Regions from separate parts of the Mus musculus genome. Here regions 2 and 3 are each reported to be linked to region 1. Evidence: microRNA targets listed by miRTarBase, many of them from high-throughput screens and not tested one by one. Region 1 holds a microRNA gene; each other region holds the end of a gene's coding sequence.
The links. The annotated mature microRNA mmu-miR-3058-5p reads UCAGCCACGGCUUACCUGGAAGA and lies in region 1 at 2,187-2,209, shown strand. An mRNA with a match to its seed (bases 2 to 7 or 8) in the 3' UTR can be bound and repressed. Matches are read on the target gene's strand: a 7mer-m8 pairs with bases 2 to 8, a 7mer-A1 pairs with bases 2 to 7 and ends in A, and an 8mer does both.

Region 2: miRTarBase lists Gjc3 as a target of mmu-miR-3058-5p. The part of its 3' UTR that is shown has no 7-base or 8-base seed match.
Region 3: the mRNA of H2-D1 is a reported target of mmu-miR-3058-5p. Seed matches in the 3' UTR shown: 7mer-m8 at 614-620.

Annotation. Positions count from the first base shown.
Region 1 is chr10:95,558,238-95,561,494 of GRCm38, reverse strand. Mir3058 (microRNA 3058) reads left to right here and starts at 2,174; the gene lies at 2,174-2,264. All of the region lies in intron 1 of Nudt4 (nudix (nucleoside diphosphate linked moiety X)-type motif 4), which reads left to right.
Region 2 is chr5:137,954,656-137,957,912 of GRCm38, forward strand. Gjc3 (gap junction protein, gamma 3) reads right to left here. Exons shown (of 3, transcript NM_080450.5): 2 at 2,550-3,257; 3 at 1-1,789. The coding sequence ends at 2,557. Among named protein-coding and RNA genes, the nearest start is that of Gjc3, 6.8 kb to the right of the region's middle.
Region 3 is chr17:35,266,568-35,269,824 of GRCm38, forward strand. It overlaps H2-D1 (histocompatibility 2, D region locus 1), which reads left to right. Exons shown (of 8, transcript NM_010380.3): 7 at 121-159; 8 at 299-930. The coding sequence ends at 303. Among named protein-coding and RNA genes, the nearest start is that of H2-D1, 5.1 kb to the left of the region's middle.

The sequences.
Region 1 (3,257 bases):
GAGTTGTAGGTCCTGGTTAGAACATTTAAATGTATGTTTTTAAAGATGAGGGTAACTTCAAAAAAAAAAAGTTAATTACCATCTGATCCTAAAAGGCTACGGAGAGCCCCCATTGGCTGGCTCACCTGAGTGCCGGGATTATAGGCGAGAGCCTTGATGCCCACTGAGAACAGGTTTTTCTTTTTTTTTTTTTTTTTTTTTTTTTTTTTTAAGATTTATTTATTTATTATATGTAAGTACACTGTAGCTGTCTTCAGACACTCCAGAAGAGGGAGTCAGATCTTGTTACAGATGGTTGTGAGCCACCATGTGGTTGCTGGGATTTGAACTCTGGACCTTCGGAAGAACAGTCGGGTGCTCTTACCCACTGAGCCATCTCACCAGCCCGAACAGGTTTTTCTTATAGTAGTGGTTCATACTGGTGCACGCCATAACTACCAGCATGTGGGAGGCAAAGGGGGTCTGATCTCTGAGTTCAAGGCCAGCCTGGTCTACAGAGTGACAGGGCATATAAATTAGGGCACAGAAGTAACATATCTCAAGGTCACAGAACAAGCAGGACTTGACTCCCCGTGTTTTTAAGTCTTCAGTGTATCTGAGCAGCCTCTCTGGCTAGTTTTTCCTGTGGAGGCCTGTCAGCTTCAGTGTGGCTTTGAGCCTTCAGACCAGCCCACAGGTATATGTCCATAAATGACTTTAAGCAGGTAGGTGGATTGGTGTGTGTGTGTGTGTGTGTGCTTGGAAATTGTTTCTGCTGGAAGCGTTGCTAAAGGAGATAGCACCATGGTCGAGAGCTTGCCTCGAACACAGGAGCCTGGGTTCAATCCTGGGCTCCTCTCTCCATAGGCAAAGAAAAGACGGTGACGTGGTGAGTTGGTAGCCAGAAATGGCTCTCGTTGAATATATTTGCATATGTATTTGAATAGTGGATGTAAAGATAGTTTGAGCTGGCAAGGAACATACACTGTCGTATGGAAGATTAGATGAAACAGGGGGAAATAACAACGGAGGCCTGGAGTGCTTTCTTCTCTGTGTGCTTTGGTTTAGGAGCCCAGTGTGTGTCACTTGGAACTTCAGTAAATGGGAAAGGAGGGACCTAGCACCCCAAATAGAAGAGGAGGATGGCTCGGGGCTGTGGTCTGCAAGAGCAGCTTGGGTTGGCAGAGAAAGGGGAATGATTTTTTTTTAAACGTGAGAACCTTGGGTAGAGAATAGCTCAGTGGTGGAATGCTTGCTTGCCTACCACACACAAAGCCTCCAGGGAAAACAGCACCTCAGAGGTCACACACCAGGCAAGACAGGAAGGACATTTCAATTTTAGACTTTTGAGGGATTTGAGAGCAAAGTGGGACATAGAATCAAGCAACTCCATCCTGGGTTGCATCCAGGTGCATGAGCAAATCAGTCTGAGAGCGAGCCAGGCAGTGGTGGCGTGCGCGCCTTCAATCCCAGCACTTAAGAGGCAGAGGCAGGCAGATCTCTGAGTTCGAGGCCAGCCAGGGCTACACAGAGAAACCATGTCTCGAAAAATCTGAGAGGGACACCAGTTCTGTCTTGGATCTGGATCGGTGGTTCAAATGAAGCATCTAGCCTCCCTCTGGGCTAGCCTGCTGTAGAGCTTGATAGCTTAGGAAAGTCCAAATCCAGCAAAAGTAAGGCATGGTGAAAATGAAGGCTCCTTAAAAGGCAAAACTAAAACCAGAGCCGGGAAGAGTATCGGCCCCAGTCAGGAATCCTAATGCAATTAAAAAAAAAAAAAACCAACCAACCAAACAAACAAATAAACCCTGCCGGCCTTTACAGGGGGTGGGGATCAGTTGTCATTTAACCTCTGGCAGTCTCCCGGTTCATAGGTATTGGCCTGTTTGACCAAGAGATTTAAGTCACTGAACAGATAAGGCATTCAAATGGAGACCACTTACAATAACCACATGGGTTTTCTTTCCTGTGTCAGAGCTTGTGTGTGCTAGGCAAGCAGGCACTCTACCGCTGAGCTGCGCCCCCAGCTCGAGGCACACCTTTTAGGAACATTGTGAGGTACACCCATCTGTGACTGTGGCTCCCCCAGACCTGAAGGAGAACCTCTCAGACCACTGAAGCAGCTTCTTCTAGGAAGAGCATGTGTCTAGCTACCATTTGTATGATTTGTCAGAGGGTGATTTCGGGATAATTCTCCAGCGTTGGAGTCAGCCACGGCTTACCTGGAAGATTGAATGTCTACTTGGCTTTCTTCCTGTCAGCCGTGGGTGCCTCTTGCTACTGGAAGAGCTCTGTGATGGTTCTGATTCGTTGCTTCAGTAATACCATGTGTTTATCAGCTAGCATGTTGACTGTGTTGTACACCCAGTAGATCCTATTTGTCTGCTTTGGGGTGTTAAATAATAGTACTTTTTGATAGGTTTCTCTGGGGAGAGTCTTTAGTGTTCATGGAGGGAGCTTGGGGTCAGCTGTCCAGTTTCTGAAGACAGTATAATTACAAGGAAGTGTTTGCTGTTGTGACTAGGTAAATGGCTTCATCCCCGCCACCCAGCCCCCTCCCCAGCCCCCCAGCCCTCCTCAGCTCACCACAGACACACACACACCCAAAATAAATCACGTTGACTTGATTTTAGAGTCTGCATGTGCAGAAGTTATTCATAGTCTAATTTACCCACCAACCTAGAGTTTAAAACAAAGGTATAATGAAACAGAAGATGAACTCCCACCTGCTGAGAAACAGTGACTCCTGCTCTCTCACCCAACTGTTCGGTCCCCCTCTTCAAAATTCTTACTTGCATATATGTATATGGACAGGAGAGGATGCTATGGAGGTCAGCGGACAACTTGTAGAATCCCTTTCTTTCCTTCCTTCTACCATGTGGGTACCAGCCTCAGGTATTCTGGCTTGTCAGCAAGTGACCTGTCCAGCTGAGCCATCTCATTACCCAAAGTCAGGTGGGTCTTTCTTTCTTTCTTTCTTTCTATCTTCCTTTCTTTCTTTCTTTCTTTCTTTCTTTCTTTCTTTCTTTCTTTCTTAACTTAAGATTATTTATATGAGTACACTGTCACACTCTTCAGACACACCAGAAGAGGACACCAGATCCCATTACAGATGGTTATAAACCACCATGTGGTTGCTGGGAGTTGAACTCAGGACCTCCGGAAGAGCAGTCAGTGCACTTAACTGAGCTATCTTGCCAGGGCCCTTTTCTTGCTTGTTGATAGCATCTTCCCCATAGCCCAGGCCGCCTCTGTTTTCTGCAGTGCTGGGATTACAC
Region 2 (3,257 bases), not on the chromosome of region 1:
TTCTAGATAGCATTTGAAATGCAAATGAAGAAAATACCTAATAAAAAATTGGGGAAAATGCTGGGCGTGGTGGCGCACGCCTTTAATCCCAGCACTCGGGAGGTAGAGGCAGGCAGATTTCTGAGTTCGAGGCCAGCCTGGTCTACAGAGTGAGTTCCAGGACAGCCAGGGCTACACAGAGAAACCCTGTCTCAAAAAAGAATTGGGAAAAAAATGTAAAGTTTTGTACATCAAAAAATATTGCCAACTCTATGCTGGGTAGCCTTCCTAGTCATCAAAACTCTTTCTCATGTATGAATCTGATGAGTTCCAACAACCAGCCTCACAAGACACATGCATGGGTGAAACAGTGGTGTAGCTGGTACAGGAGTAACCAACTGCTTTCTGATTCGATTGAGGATTCACTCCACAAGAGAAACCCCATGCCTGGTACTACAAATCTGGCCAAGAACCCATCCTGCGGAGCTCAAAAGCCCTACAGAAAAGTCACTATTAGTTTGCTAAATTGACATAGTATCAAACTGTCTTCTAAATGATTCTCGAAACTCATAGATTAGGTCAGTTTTCAACACTGACCACAGACTTTTTCTTTTTACAGTGAACAGTGGCCAATATACAGACTTACAATTTGTAAATGCAGAAACAGGTGTCCATGTAATATTCAGTCTCAAATGAGACATCGACAGCACATCCTTGCCCCCCAAAGCTCAAGGGAACATTAGAGAAGATGGAGAAATGGGAAAGAAAAATGTAAAGATCCAGTGCTCTGGGAGATCTGCTATGAAACAACATCTTATGAACACAGCAGGAACTTGCATTCATAAACTCACAGAAGCAGTGGTTGCCTGCACAAGCTCAAGACACTCAGCATTACAGGATGAATGAGAGAAGGACTACCCACAACTGAGGAACTGTTGGCAGTTGATCAATGCTGGCAGAGGAAGACTCCATCTTCTTTGGGTGTGGCATCGAGTAGGTTGACTGTGTTCGGGTAGATAGCTTCACACCAATTCACACTTTGAGTAGCACTGATTTTTGTTCTCAGTGGGTTATAAAGAAAAGAAGAGGACAAGAAATTAGGATAGGGACATGTCAGGAGATCCAAGAGCAGTGATACAGGGATATAGGGTAGACGTGATCAAAACACACTGTATACATGTAGGAAATTATCAAAGAATAAATAATTTTAAAGAAATGCTACTCAGGAAGAAAATGAAGATGACCCATGGAATAGAAGAGAATGTTTTGAAATGAGCCACTTGATAGGTATCTAACAATTATATAGTTTATACAAGGCAAAAATAAATAACCTAATTTAATTGGCAAAAAACTTGGTCTTTTCTACAAAGATATACAAGTGATTAATAAGCATACTGTATGATTCCATCTCTATACAATCCCAGAATAGGATAGATAATCCATTAGAACAGAAAGTAGCCTGTTTTTTGTTTATATTTAGTGGAGAGACAGGAAAGAAAAATTAGAAGTGGCAGCTAATTGATGTAGGAGGTCTTGTTTTGTTTTCTGAGATTTTATTATTTTATTTATTCTTTGTGTGTGTGTGTGTGTGTGTGTGTGTGTGTGTGTGTACTCTTCATGACATGTATGTGGGCAACTTGTGGGAGTTGGTTTTCTCCCTTCTCCGTGTGGGTTCTGGAGATCAATCTCAGATCATGAGGCTTGACTGCAAGCACCTTTACCCCTGTACCATCTCCCCGGCCACCTCACTGGATGTATTGAAGATCAAGTCCCAGAGTTTTCTGCAGGCAATCCAGGCAACTTTACAACTCTGAAAAGTAGAAATTAAGCAGAAGCTGAGGATTTTACCAAATGAAAGAGCAGGCAATACACAAACCAGTGTGCTTATCGGGGTCTACCACAAGGAGTCATGCAACTGATAGGGATAGGTATTGGGAAACGGTTTGGGGGTAGTAATCAAATACATGCCTCAGCCATGAGACTGAGAGCATGGTGGCTCTTGCTTTTAATCTTAGAACTTGAGAGCCAGAGGCAGATGGTTCTCCATGAGTTCAAAGCCAGCCTGATCTACTATAGCAAATTTCACGCCAGTCAGGGCTAGCTGTTTCATATACATATATGAATGCCTTCTCCACCAAGAGAGACTGTACCCTCAAACTGTGAACCAAAGTAAACATTTCATCCCTTAAAAAATACATCTGGGTTCTGGAGAGATGTCCCAGTGGTTAGAGTGCAAAGAAACCAAAGTTTGCTTCCCAGTTCCCACATTGGACAGCTACCTGTAATTCCAGCTCCAAAAGATCTACCACCTTCTCTGGCCTCCACCGGCACCTGAATATTCTCTCTCTCTCTCTCTCTCTCTCTCTCTCTCTCTCACACACACACACACACACACACACACACACACACACAAACACACACACACCAAAGTAAAAGTAGAATGCCTCTGCTTAGAAACTTTGTAACATGGGAACTGTACACCCCAAAGGATGAGGGGCCTACTCTAAGTGGGGACTGCTAACACAGAGAGATCAGAGGCAGGGATAGATGATTGGCAGTAGGGTCCTCACCTGCATCTCAAAATGGCTCTTTTGCCTCCACCACTGACAATTCATCGGTTGTGTCCTTGGATCTTACAGAGCTCTCTGAAGTTGGCAACTTCTTTAAGAAGGAAAGTTTGTGCTTGTATATCCTCCAAAACCTCCCTAAACCCAAAAGCGCAAGCTCCAAGAAAATAAATAAGAAACAGGCCCCGCTGATCCCAAACATGATGTTGAGGAAGATGGTCTTCTCAGAGGGGTGAGACTGGAAACAGGTTGTGCTGCCAATACAAGGATCCTCACGACATATAAAAGTGCTGGACATCTTGAAACCATACAGATTGTACTGAACACCTAGAGCTGCTCCCTCAAGGGCCAGCCGTACCCCAAGGTGTGCCACATAGGCCCAGAGAAGCTTGAGGCTTTTAGCCCCTGAGACATCCTTGCTATGATCCCCTTTGCTAATCTGGGTCTCTTGCTCCTTGTTTTCCTTTCCTGGTACCTCCCAGTATCCAATCACATGATACAGAGTGAAAGCCACATAAATGGCACTGGGTACAGCCATCAGAATGACTTGGAAGGCCCAGAAGCGCAATGGAGAGAGAGGGCGGAAGACATCATAGCAAATGGTCTTGCAGCCTGGCTGCCCTAAATGACATATGAATTCATTCTCATCATTGCCGAAAACCCCAGGTCCACTGGAAACCAAGATCAGGAGACGGAATCCCATGAGCATGG
Region 3 (3,257 bases), not on the chromosome of region 1:
ATGGGAGCTCTGGGAATCCATAATAGCTCCTCCAGAGAAATCTTCTAGGGGCCTGAGTTGTGCCATGAAGTGAATACATTCATGTACATATGCATATACATTTGTTTTGTTTTACCCTAGGCTCCCAGAGCTCTGAAATGTCTCTCCGAGATTGTAAAGGTGACACTCTAGGGTCTGATTGGGGAGGGGCAATGTGGACATGATTGGGTTTCAGGGACTCCCAGAATCTCCTGAGAGTGAGTGGTGGGTTGCTGGAATGTTGTCTTCACAGTGATGGTTCATGACTCTCATTCTCTAGCGTGAAGACAGCTGCCTGGACTGTACTGAGTGACAGACGATGTGTTCAGGTCTCTCCTGTGACATCCAGAGCCCTCAGTTCTCTTTACACAACATTGTCTGATGTTCCCTGTGAGCTTGGGTTCAGTGTGAAGAACTGTGGAGCCCAGCCTGCCCTGCACACCAGGACCCTATCCCTGCACTGCCCTGTGTTCCCTTCCATAGCCAACCTTGCTGCTCCAGCCAAACACTGGGGGACATCTGCATCCTGTAAGCTCCATGCTACCCTGAGCTGCAGCTCCTCACTTCCACACTGAGAATAATAATTTGAATGTGGGTGGCTGGAGAGATGGCTCAGCGCTGACTGCTCTTCCAAAGGTCCTGAGTTCAAATCCCAGCAACCACATGGTGGCTCACAACCATCTGTAATGGGATCTAACACCCTCTTCTGCAGTGTCTGAAGACAGCTACAGTGTACTTACATATAATAATAAATAAGTCTTTAAAAAATAATTTGAAAGTGACCTTGATTGTTAACATCTTGATCTAGGGCTGATTTCTTGTTAATTTCATGGATTGAGAATGCTTAGAGGTTTTTTTGTTTGTTTGATTGATTTTTTTGAAGAAATAAATGGCAGATGAAGGAACTTCCAGAATCTGGGTCACTATGCTGTGTGTATCTGTTGGGACAGGATGAGGCTGTGGCAGCTGAGTGTGAACAGGGCTGTGCCCAGGTGGGCTCAGTCCATTTTGATCTGTGATGGGGCCACACCTCGGCTGTGTCACCTCTGGGCTCTGTTCTCTCCATCACTCTGAGGCACATCCTGAGAGTTTGTGATCACAAAGACACAGGGAGGGCCTGAGCCTTGCCCTGTCCCCAGGATTATGAGCCCCTAGGGCTAAAGATCAGAGACTCAACTAGGGATCCTTTAATGTGCTGGGTGTACAAGACAATTCACCCATTTCCTCTCACCCATCCCTTTTAGCTACTAATGATGCTGTGTTGAAGCTGCCCTGGGCTCTCCCTGTCCCATGCTACTGTGGTGATTTCTCCTTCTTCTCTTCAGTATCTCTTCCAGGGTTCTCAGGTGTAGGATGTGATTTTTTTGTTAAACTCCCAGGTGCACATCCTCAGGTGAGATAATTGGCTTAGATTTTTCTAAACTCATTTTTAATAAGGGTTCTTAAATGCTTAACCTCATTTATAGCCCACCACCCACCAGAAGTAGAGAAAAAAAAAGGATATCGGATTAGTTCATCTGTTTAGAAATGGTTCTTTGAAGCAAATCCAATCTGCATTGTCAGGATATCAGTTCACAAGAATCAGCAATAGCAGCTCAAAGCAGAAGCGGCCAAGAGGCTCAGCTCTTTGCTGTTTAGAAGTAGTTTCTTGGGGCAATTTCAATCTCCAATTGTCAGGATACCACCAGTCCAGGTCTGCAGTGTCAGGATAGCAAACCCAAACCATTGACTGTGGCATGACCCAGCAGAAACTGCCAGGCCTCCATGAAATCGGCCTGAGTCAGCAGGAATGACCAGGAGAGGTTCTCTGCCCTGACTCTCCACAAAGTGAAGGTCAATGAAGATGAAGACTTGAGACCAACGTAGCATTGCAAAGCAAGCTATGCAAACCCTCCATCACTTTCCATTGTGTTCCATTATACTCCCTCCAAACATCAACGTGTCCTCACAGGAGTCTTGCTTTCCACGAGACTTGCCTCAGGAAAACACCACGTAAGTCTGTCTTAGCAAAACTCCACTTGAGTCTGTATCAGCTCACATATCCAGAGACTTTCACTTGACTCTGTCAATCATCCTGCTGCAGAAGCAGCAAGAATCCACCAGAGCATCACCAGAAGGTTTTTGGTGCATTTCTCTCTATGGAGTCACAAGCAACGATGACCAATAAGTAATGGTAAAGCTTACCAATACCATGTAGCCTCGTCTACTGTCTGTTGGGACTTATTTATATTTCTTCTAAATATCATGTGTCCTTTCTCATATCTACTTTAGCAAACACCCTTTCACCTGTGTCTGCTGCAGCAAAACATCATTTGACAGAACTGACTTTCCACAGAAACCAGAAGTTCCCACTTCAAGAACAGCGATGTTTCTCTCCTATGTAACTTGGGTACCGGCCCCTGAAACTTTTTTTTCAAAAAAAGATTTATTTATTATTTTATGTGTGTACATTGCTGTCTTTAGACACACCAGAAGGGGGCATCAGATCCTATTATAGATGATTATGTGCCACCATGTGGTTGCTGAGAATTGAACTCAGGACCTCTGGAAGAGCAGTCAGTGCTCTTAATCACTGAGCCATCTCTCCAGCTCCCCCCACCTCTGAAACATTTATACTCCTCCATTATCTTCTCTTTTAACAGCTTGTGTTCTGGAGTTAACTCCCTGAACTCTCTTCATCTCTATTCCCAGATCGGGTGAACCTGTTTCTTGCAGCCCTGACTTGGGCATGCTGGATGCATATTCACCATAGTCTGTCTTAAAGCCCTGTCCATAGGCCTGATGTTGCTCTGCATTGTGGATGGCTCTGTATTACAGGAGACCAAAGTCCTGCTCATAAGCCTGTAACCATTTAAATTATGCAATGTTTATACCAATAAGGACACAGGAGGCATAAACTGAGGTATAAACCTGCCAGCTCAGCGAGGAAACTTTATTTTCCTAACTATATGGGATATACCTATTACAAGCCTGATTGTACACCTAAACTGCCAGCTCTTAAGAAATCTCGTTCTATCTGTGTCAATCTTATTAGGCTAGTTAGTCTACCATCCCCTTGAGCTCCTCCAAACCCAAGAGGGATCTTTAGCTCTGCTTCCTAGATTTCTGTTTTACCTGTGTCCTGCCAGATGCTTCTCTGTTGTTCCTGCAAATCCAAAGAGGAAATGCCCATTACTTACCCGGAGCTCCTCCCATATTGGCTCTTCCAAGCTGAGAGAGAGAGAGAGAGAGAGAGAGAG